Drosophila melanogaster: one gene and its partner. The protein of the gene in region 2 interacts with the protein of the main gene of each other region in a pairwise test. Each region holds a gene or a part of one and is shown on either strand. Other genes may lie near its edges.

The links. The genes of interacting proteins can lie anywhere in the genome.
Region 1: the proteins of CG11882 (region 2) and Clc interact in a two-hybrid assay, tested with the Drosophila melanogaster proteins (2 studies listed by BioGRID).

The regions. Positions count from the first base shown.
Region 1 is NT_037436.4:20,238,471-20,244,565, reverse strand, and holds Clc (clathrin light chain), read right to left. Parts: upstream 3,514-6,095; 5' UTR 3,460-3,513; intron 3,448-3,459; exon of another isoform or gene 3,026-3,447; intron 3,004-3,025; exon of another isoform or gene 2,882-3,003; intron 2,722-2,881; exon of another isoform or gene 2,663-2,721; intron 2,061-2,662; exon of another isoform or gene 1,782-2,060; 5' UTR 1,769-1,781; coding exon 1,109-1,768; 3' UTR 831-1,108; downstream 1-830. Other genes in the region: CG6951 (uncharacterized protein), read right to left, coding at 1-399; CG17233 (uncharacterized protein), read left to right, coding at 4,071-4,703, 4,953-5,828. UniProt on the Drosophila melanogaster protein: Clathrin is the major protein of the polyhedral coat of coated pits and vesicles.
Region 2 is NT_033777.3:29,145,852-29,150,159, forward strand, and holds CG11882 (uncharacterized protein), read right to left. Parts: upstream 2,322-4,308; 5' UTR 2,204-2,321; coding exon 2,100-2,203; intron 2,030-2,099; coding exon 1,342-2,029; 3' UTR 1,165-1,341; downstream 1-1,164. Other genes in the region: CG14511 (uncharacterized protein), read right to left, coding at 1-950; Pglym78 (phosphoglyceromutase 78), read left to right, coding at 2,599-2,701, 3,158-3,655, 3,718-3,884; eIF2D (eukaryotic translation initiation factor 2D), read right to left, coding at 4,089-4,308.

The DNA of each region.
Region 1 (6,095 bases), on a different chromosome or scaffold from region 2:
TTTGGCACATTCGTTGCACGGAAATAGTGTGGTATACAGTCGAGTTCCAGACAAACTCATGCCGTTGCTGTTCAGGATTGCATTGGCCTCCGCGTGGACCACGTACATCTTCTTGTCTTCCAGGGGATCAAATTCCTGCGAGCCTTTCTTAGCTTTTGACCACGGAAACACGTCATCGCTGCAGTTGCGAGGGAACCCATTGTATCCAATGGCCACTATCCGATTCTGGGAATCCACGATGCAGGCGCCCACTTGGGTGACGGGATCTTTGCTGCGTTTGGCGGAGAGCAGTGAGGTGGCCATAAAGTAGTCATCCCAATGCAGATATTCCTTTCTCTTGTGGCTTTCGGGTGACTTCGACAACTGGGATATCAAATCTTGAGCGGAAACTTCAGCCATTTCTGCAAAACAAGTAGAAAACCTTATTAAGCGATGGAAATAATTAAATTATGATTTCTGATATCCACTTTTCATTATCGTAATTGGTTTCTTTATGCGTATTTCATTCATATAATGCATACATTAAACCAGCTCTGCAATGACAAATACTTGCCTCAGTTGTCTGTATGTCTTTATTTTAATAATCATTTAATGAATGCAAATCCATACACAACCATATTCCATTTCCAACCCATTGATATTTCCAACACACATATATGATGAAAACAAGTTGTATGTGTATAACTAACTAGAGATAAGAATAATAAATGGTTTGTATAATGCGTTTTATAGAGCAATAAATATTATTTACAACAAAACTGGAAGTAATTAAAGCCCCTTGATGTGCAACCCTGCTTGATTAACAAAATGAACGAAAAAACACTTTAGTTGTCATATCCTTGGTTTTATTTTTTATTTGTTCTTTTTCCTAACTTTTTCATGTCGTTTTTCTTATTTTGTGTGATGGGGTATATGATAGTCAAGGAAAGCATGACAACTGTGTGCACATTCTTTATTGCATTCATTAGACAAAACGATGATCGCGGCTATGTTATAGCAGCAATAATAATATTTTATGTATCATAAATTGGAATATACAGCGAATACTTTCAATAATAATTTTCATATTCAACTCAATGTGGTTAGGCGAGTGCGTAATTAAAACTACCTAGGTGCTCTTCTGCACCTGGATGGGATTCTGCTTGAGGTGCAGGTAGATGGATCGCATGCGGGAGACGTCCTTTCCCGCCTTGTTCACCTTGGGATTGAAGTCGCAGAGCTTGGCTATGCGCTCCCATTCGGTGCCCGGCTCGATGGTGCCATTCTCCAGGGTGGCGGCTTGTTTCTCGGCATTCCGCGACGCCAGTTTGGTCTTCGATATGGACTCGCCAATCTGGCGCAACCAGTCGTCCAGCTCCTTCTTGGACTGCTGTCGGAGTTCCTCCTTTTTTCGCTCCTCCTCGATGTCCTTCTCCTCCAGTCGTTGCTTTTGCTCTTCGCGCCATTTGCGTATCTTTTCGGGCTCTTCCCGCGACGGCGGCGGACCGGATATGCCCACGGGTTCATTGGACTCGCCACCAATGACCTCAAAACTGCCAGTGGAGGATTCGAGGCCACCCGTGCCGCCAGCAGAGAGCAGATCGCCTTCGGAGGCGGTGCCTCCCAGAAGCTCACCCAAGCCCTCGTCTGTGGATGCAGCCGGAGGAGCTGATGCAGATCCACCCGTAATCTCCGCCTCCAAGTCCCCGAGAGCTGACTGTTCGCGCGCCAGGAACTCGGCCGCCGGATCCACGTCCTCCTTGGCAGCGAAATCGTCTCCGAAGTCCATGGCTATGTGCTCTCTGGAAATGTTGTGATTGCTATTTAGTGGGCGTCTCACCCAGATTTACACGTACGCAGAGGAGCAGCCAGCTGCTGGCGGATTCCCCCCGATTCATTGACAATTGGGCACTACGCACCTCTCCTTTGATTCGGTTAGGACTAATTGAAGATCGGTGTGGGCGGATGACTAACCGGAAACTTGGTCAAATGTATTTTTTCAGTTTTCTTTTAGCAATGAATACGTAAAATGACTGTCATTAGTACGTGAACCAACCATAAAACAGCGGGCTATCGAACTGGTTCCAGCCGAACAGTGCTGGATAATGCAACATATATCGCAACGCGATGGTTTTAAATTTAATGTTATGATTTTTATATTAAAAAATAAATATTTTTTTACACCAGTTATTATGCCAAATCTTTTAAATGTATACAAATTAGTAATATTTAAGGAACAGAAACCATTGTTAACTATTTTACTTGTCAAAGCCGAATTCAACATTCCTTAACATCACGGATAACGAGTTAAAGATTTAGCTACATTTTGTATTATTAAGCTACAAGTTTATGATAATGTATGTTGAAAAAACCAAAGTAAGAACATTTAATTTTTCCTTAACTAAACTTTTAAATTATATCAGCAGCGTCAATTTTCCACTGGGTTTCTGGTCAATTAGTGTTGCAAAATGTGTAATGGTGGTGGCTTGATTCGTTCATATATAATTTAGAACCGTACATATAGTTAATAAAACCTAGATTTAATATAATATTTAAGTTTGGAATTATTTTATTTTTTTTTTTGTTTTCAGATTTTGTAAAGTTCTCATGGTTTTTGAAATCAACTAGTTCCAATTGATCAGTGTTAGGAAACGCGCGAGTTCAGTAAACACAACCTTCAGAGGAGTTACGATTAATTTGTTTATATCTTATCAAATGTGCCTTAATAAATGCTCGTAAAATGTAAATACACAACAAAGTTAACTAGTAATGACTGTAGACCCGATAAAAAGCGTATTATACAACACTTGTTGCTATTGCATAGCACATGGGAATATAATTGCTGGTCAAATTTCACGGTGAATTGTTCACACAACATGACTTAATTATGTTTTTGACTAACCTATGCCACGAAGAACACAAGACGCAGTATACTTTTTGAGGAAATTAACAAAGACGAAATGCGAGGACGACGGCAAAACAAACAATAAACACTCGGCGCGCGAACTAGTGAACCGATGAACAAGTTCACCGTGGCATCATTCACCTGAGCCAGTGGTTCGTTTTTCACTGGCAGCAGAGCGGCCATTTTGGAGATTGTTTCATCCACAAAAAAGTTATGCACCGAATCTAAAAAAAAGAACGTTCGCTGTTAGTTAAACATAAAATCCGCTCGTGCATATTGAAGCGTTGTTGTGCTGGCCGATCCGATGTGAAGATAATGCTGGGCCCGAGCAGACCGACAGTTCCGATTCTATAACGACTAAAAGTTAGTGACTATCTTCCAACACGCACGCATGTACGCCCGTGTGTGTGAGTATGTGTGTGTGTGTGTGTGATTGTGTGCATGGATACATATATGTACAAGCGGAAAATACGGGAAAAAATCCTATTCCCAGGCAGAAAAACATTGCCAAAAACAGCATAAATCCCAGCCAATGTGATGGCCCCGTCATTGTAATGTCATAAGTGAGCACCCACATTAACCCATTGACGCTGAAACTTCAAAAATGCGGTCTCCTTGCCGCCGAGCGCCAAGGCAAAAAATACAGACGCCAATTTTTTTGAAGGGGGAACCAAGCGCATCGTGGCCAAAAGGGATACAAAAAAAATGAAGATACGAAAAAAATAGGGGGATCCCTTCAGTGCAGAAAAGTTGGGGAACAAACACCCCAAAACTGGAGTGTTTCATTCTAAAGTGTACTTCTACTATGTGTTTATTGATTTACAATAAAAGATAAACAAAATATGTTTGACCACATATAAATATCAATAATTTTATAGTAATTATTATTGATCCATAAATAACATTAATTGAATTCGCGCCTTTTTCCCCTCTATATTATGAATGCCATGGCAAGCAACTTGTGATAACAATATAAATATGTTATAATCTAAGCTACCGCTAAATTGATAAATATGGGCGGGATTTTTAGACTTAACACATGACCATTGGAAATGTATCCGAGCAATAATAAACTCCAATTAGTTAATCCTTTACATATAAGCCGCTAATTATATTCAAAAACCACTAAAGTTTTGCTATTTGTTTCAGTTACCAGCCATCAGCAGTAGAAGAGCCCAAGCCAAACATGGATCCCAATTCCAGTCCCTGGTCATACGCCTACAACCGCATCGTGCCCGCCAGTGCCGGAAGCTCCGGCGGAACAGCAGAGGACTTCCAGCATCCACACCTGGCCACCATTACGGCAGCAAGCATCGCCAGCTTTAATGCGGCGGCCGCCAGTGGTGGCAGCTTTGTGCCTCCGTCACCGATTGGCAGCTACAACCCAGTATTCCAGCAGATCTACCACCATGCGGCGGCGGCCAGTGTCCAGCCTAAGCCCGCCCACTATGCCTCGTCAGCGGTGAGCACGCCGCACCGCCAGCTGCAGCTGCCCAGTTCGCTGGACAAGCAGCTCAGTTCGTTCCAGAACCAGGCGGCCGTGTCGGCGGCAGCGGCTGCTGTAGTCAACAATGTTGCCTCGAACTATTACGGGGAGAACTCCTCGTCGAGTGGAGCCTCACCATCGCCCACAACGGTGGCCCTGACGTCGACGTCGCTGACCTGGAACACGCCGAACATGATATCGAACACCTTCCTGGCCATGCAACAGCAGCAGGCACAGCAGCAACAGCAGCAGGCACAACAGCAGCAACAACAGGCCCAACAGCAACAGCAGCAGGCGCAACAGCAACAGCTAAACCTGGTGGCCGACAAAGTGGTGAGTAGAATTCGTTTGTTTTACGTTCGGCTTTCAGATCACTCTTCTATTATGGTTTACGCCAGCTTCTGGGGAAGCACACACACTTATTAAAACCCCGCAGGCTCTATCGCATTTATCGCATACTAACATAACATCCCTTCCAATAAACCCATCAAAGCATAGACTAAGTCTAGCCTCTCTATGTCGAATCAATCCCAAACCAAACACTTTCCGATTCCGATTCAATCTATGTACGGTGCGCTGTAGCAGATTAAGCAGGAAAAGCAATTAAAAGCCTACAACGACTCGATTTACCTGATCCAACTGCAACAGCAGCAGCAGCAACAACAGACAGCGGCGCAGCAGCAACAGCAGCAGCTCCACCAGCAACTGCAACAGGAGATCGCCGAGGCAGACACAGAACCGGACACCTATTACACCATTGATGGCCGGAAGGTCAAGGTGACGCGGAAGGATGGCCAGCCGTATCGGGCAACGATAGTAGACCAACAGGATGCCAGTCCGGTGCCGCTGGCAGTGCCAGTTCCGGCGGGATCCTATCCGGTGCAATATGCCAGTCCGGCGCTAAGCTCCGCAGATGGATCGCCCATCACGAATTTACATGCGGTGGACGTGGTCAGCACACCGCAGGCCCAGGTGATCGTCTACAAGACGGCATCCCCTGTGCAAAGGCGGCAAGAAGCGGGCGCTGGATCGTCTGCTGCTGCCACACCCACCACGGTGGCCTACTCATCTGTGATACAAAGCACCCTGCAGCAACAGCAGCAGCAGCAGAACCTCTGCTGGACGAAGCTGGAGGACAATGGAGCGGGGCAGGAGGACATTAAGAACGTGCTGCAGCTGCAGGTGAAACAGGAACATCGGCAGCTCGATTTTGCCAGTGAGGCATCCTCAGTGGACGCCGGTGGTGGTGGCGAAAATCTAGTTTTCAACCTACCGCCCGGGCTGGAGATCAAGCAAACCTTCTATCCCGCGAGCGTGGTCGATGGGGAGCAACTGCAGCTGCAGGAGCACAATCAAAACCAATCCCAGTCCTCCGGTCGGCGCCAGCACGTGGTGGCCAACATGATCATGTCGCCGTCGGCGGGCAACTTAGCGTCACAGATTCAAGTAGTGCCAAAGGTTTGTATTTAATTTTTTTTATTTCCGTTTCTATTTGTTTATTAATTTGTTTGTGTTCTGCCTTTATTTCGTTTTATTTGCTTTTCACACTATTTCTTCCAAGATTTTGCCAACTTAAATGGACTAGTTTGGAAGATCTCTTATTTAGTTCCACTGTGCGCTTTTTCTTTCTGATTGGCTAAAAATAAATTTGAATTAACAAAACGTACCTTAACAGACTATTGGTAGCTTACATAAAAAATCTCATTTGGACGCAAAATTTCCAAT
Region 2 (4,308 bases):
ACATTTGCAAACATCAAGGTGCCCACAAAGACTAGCGCGGTGCCCAGCCAGTGCCACCAGGTGAAGGGATTTCGGAAGTATACGATCGAAAAGACCAGCGAGATGAACTTGCGGAGTGTGAGGATCAGAGTCACCGTCAGCGAGCTGCACTCCGTGGTCAGGGTGTAAACGGAGCTGATGCACAAATGCTGCGCAAGCACGTTGCCCAATAAGTATAGCAGGATTAGGGGCACTGCCACGCCCAGGAGGGGCAACTGGTAGGACTCGCCCGTGAACGCCAAAAGCCAGTGCGTCCGTATGTCGTCATGCATGAGCAGGAAGGCGGGCAGCGGCAACAGGTGGGTGTAATACAACGCTTCCCTGGCGCACTTGCCATGACGTCGATACAGCAACTCCTGTGTAATTCCCATGTAGGAGGAAACAAATAGAGCCAGCACCAAGAGTGCCACGCCCAACAGCCACCAGAACGTATCCGCCTCGGCGCCACTATCCAAATTCTCCATCTTACCCACCAAATCCGGACTGGAGAAATATGTGCAGACGAAAATGCCCACGCTGATCATGAGCACCGATATGTACTGACTCAACCGGTAACTCCTCTTCAGGATCAACGTGCACAGGCACATGTTGGAGATCAGCGAACCGCCGCGTATGATCATGTGCAGTGTCATTGGAACTTTGAACTTGAACACGTAGTTGTTGCATACGCTGGTCAGGAAAAACATGGCCACGAGGAGCGCATAGTCGCGCAGGCTGATCACTCTCTGGGCCAGGCCAAACTTCGAGGTGAAGATGAAGCCCTCGAGGGCAATAAATGCAAACTGGGCGCCAGTTATAAGGTTTCCAGCGCCGGGATCCAGTTTAACCAGGAGCTCCAAGAAGACGACGCCACTGCAGCAGCCCAAGAAAACGCCGCAGATGGCCGAAATAGCGCGGATGGATAAATTCATGAACTCGCGCAACGAAAGTAGACGATTCCCACCAACTTTAACCTACGATCTGGGCCATGACGAGCTTTTAAGCCAACTTACTTTCTCTTCGGCCATACAAAACGTAAACAAATGCAACAGGTGGTTATCGATAAAGTTCGGTTCGGGCACAGCTGATGTTGGTCTATCGAAAGTGGTTGAAATTCAAATATTCCAAGCGAAAAAGAAAAAATTTATGATTTTAAGAGAAGAATATTTTATTTAATGTACATTACATTCAAAACCAAACTTAAATATGTTGCCTAATCACATTCGAAATATTCGCACCAACAGTCTTTTACAACAATTACAAAATACAATGATGACAATGCTAAGAAAGAAATTACAGATTAGCAAATTAATGGTATATTACTTATTTTTCCTTTTCCAGCAAGGCAATAATTTTGTTTAACTTTTCCGTCTGCTGGGCCTCGAAGTTGTCCAGTCTCTTAGACACTAACAGCGTCAGCTTCTCAAATCTCATGTCGATGTGCTCCTTGAGGATTGCAACATCGGTGGAAGGCGGTGCAGTCTCTTGGGTTTGGTCCTTCGCCTGCGGGGAATAGCCCTTCATCAGGCTCATGAACTGCTCGAACTTTTCGGCCTGCTCCTCCTTCTTCAAGGGACTCGTGCCACCCCTTTGCAGCAGCTCTTGGATTCGCTGCGCATCCATTGGCCTGGGCAACTGGGTGGTTATGCCGTTGGGATTCGGCGCCACCTGGAGCAGGGCTCCGTAAACGCAGATCTCGCTGGCCGAGGTGAGCATCTTCAGGTTTATGTCATTTATCCCGGATCGGTCGATTTCCATGTCATAGCGATAGGGTCGCACCGCAACCTCTGGGTCCTCATCGTCGACGCAAGTGCCGTAGATGGTCTCGCAGTACTCCTGCAAGGGTCCAATGAACAGCTCCACCTTGGGAGCGCTGCAAATCAGGGTGAGCGCGGCGATTTTGAAGCGGTTCGGGATCTGGAAGCGCAGCTCACAAGGCGGCGGCGGATCCGCCGACTGCATGGAAAACAGCACGGCGCGATTCTCGTCGATCACGTCGTCCAAGTCGGGCCTGCGGACAAAGGAGGTTTCAAAATTACTTGATAAAAACCAGTTTCGGGGCGTGGAATCCTTTGTCTCACTTCACAAAGACGTCTTCGTCGGACAAGCGGGTGGCCACCAGTTGGTCCAGCCCGTTGCCCGACAGCTGGGGCCAAGTGCAGCGCGCGGTGACCTTTTCGCACATGCTTTAAGTGACAAAAAGTTGGAATTTATGGGAGCAAAATTTAAAAACAGCCAAATTTAAAAACCAAAACACGAATATAGTGATGACAAACGCGAGCGATAACATCTGCGCGGGGGATGCCAACCTGTTGCACAGCGCAAACTAATTGGACATTTGAAGGTAGCTTGACGCGCTATTCCAATAAGACCATACTCCGGAGTCCAATCAGAGAAGGCACCGCATCTGCGCACTACGTTTTTCCAACAGAACGGCAATATCGCGGCCTGACAGCTGCGACCTTGGACGGCTCCCTTGTAGGTCAAACTTCAGCAGAATTCCCACATATTGCAGTCGCAGCAAGGCGGCAGCTTAAGAACGAGTACACAATTATCCGCAGAGTGATCAACGCAGCTAAAATGGGCGGCAAGTACAAGATCGTGATGGTGCGCCACGGCGAGTCCGAGTGGAACCAGAAGAATCAGTTCTGCGGCTGGTACGACGCCAACCTCAGCGAAAAGGGTGAGTGATTACATCAATTTGAAATTTAAACCTCATATGTGGGATTAAAAATCTGATGTACATCTAGTTTCCAATCGATGATCCTTTGCTTTGATCAGTTTCACAATAGTATTCCTTTTCATTTACCCAAATTAATCTTCATTGACCTAGTGCAACATTATCTCATTCAAACTTTTCTGTGATAAAAATAGGTCTCTACAAACAAAAGCTTTCCAGTGCAATTTTCAGAAGCATCAAAATTCTAGTTTGTTACACTTTAAAGTCAAAAATTTGCCATCTCATATGTTTCTAAAGTTCAGATTATGCTTATGAGCATAATTTGATAGGTTATCGCCTTTTTTTAACCCTAGTAATCAAATTAAATTAAACGCATGCCTTTCAATTAGATTAAATTGGCTTACGTTCGTTACCCAACACGGCGTATACTTAATGTTCGCTAAACATTTGCCCAAACAGGTCAGGAGGAGGCCCTAGCCGCCGGCAAGGCCGTCAAGGATGCCGGCCTGGAGTTCGATGTGGCCCACACCTCGGTGCTGACCCGCGCCCAGGTGACGCTGGCCAGCATCCTGAAGGCCAGTGGCCACAAGGAGATCCCCATCCAGAAGACTTGGCGCCTGAACGAGCGCCACTACGGTGGACTCACTGGCCTGAACAAGGCCGAGACCGCCGCCAAGTACGGCGAGGCCCAGGTGCAGATCTGGCGTCGCAGCTTCGACACCCCGCCACCACCGATGGAGCCGGGCCATCCGTACTACGAGAACATCGTCAAGGATCCCCGCTACGCCGAGGGTCCCAAGCCCGAGGAGTTCCCCCAGTTCGAGTCCCTCAAGCTGACCATCGAACGCACACTGCCCTACTGGAACGACGTCATCATTCCCCAGATGAAGGAGGGCAAGCGCATCCTGATCGCTGCCCACGGCAACAGCCTCCGTGGCATCGTCAAGCATTTAGACAGTGAGCATGGGAGACATAACATATATCATATCATCTTTTTACCATATCCTTGTCCAATCCAGACCTTTCTGAGGACGCCATCATGGCCCTAAATCTGCCCACGGGCATTCCGTTCGTCTACGAGCTGGACGAGAACTTCAAGCCGGTGGTGTCCATGCAGTTCCTCGGCGACGAGGAGACCGTGAAGAAGGCCATCGAGGCTGTGGCCGCCCAGGGCAAGGCCAAGTAAGCACGCAGGCCACACCTCATGAGAATCCACTCAAATACGGCACAAGTCAGAGCATTCTGATTACGCTTCTGTTCAAGATGTAGCCAATCCCATTCGTTGTTGTTGTTCGCGTAGCAGTAATTGGTTCATCCCCACTACAGTTAATAAATAATTTATTATTACACTCAAGAGGACAGGCGGAGGAGGCTTCATTTATTGTCCGGCTCACTTCTTCTTATTCTTCTTGCCGTCCTTGGCCAATTCCAGGCCCAGGATGCACTTGGGCGGCACCTTGTACGTTTCCGTGAGCAGCGTGTGCACAAATCGCACCTGGTTGCCCTGGATTTGCAGCTGCTCGTGCTTTTGGTGCGGCAGTTTCACCACACTGGTGCTGGCGGCGGCTCCCTGCTTGCACAGCTTGATGAACTCGGCCAGGATGATGCCG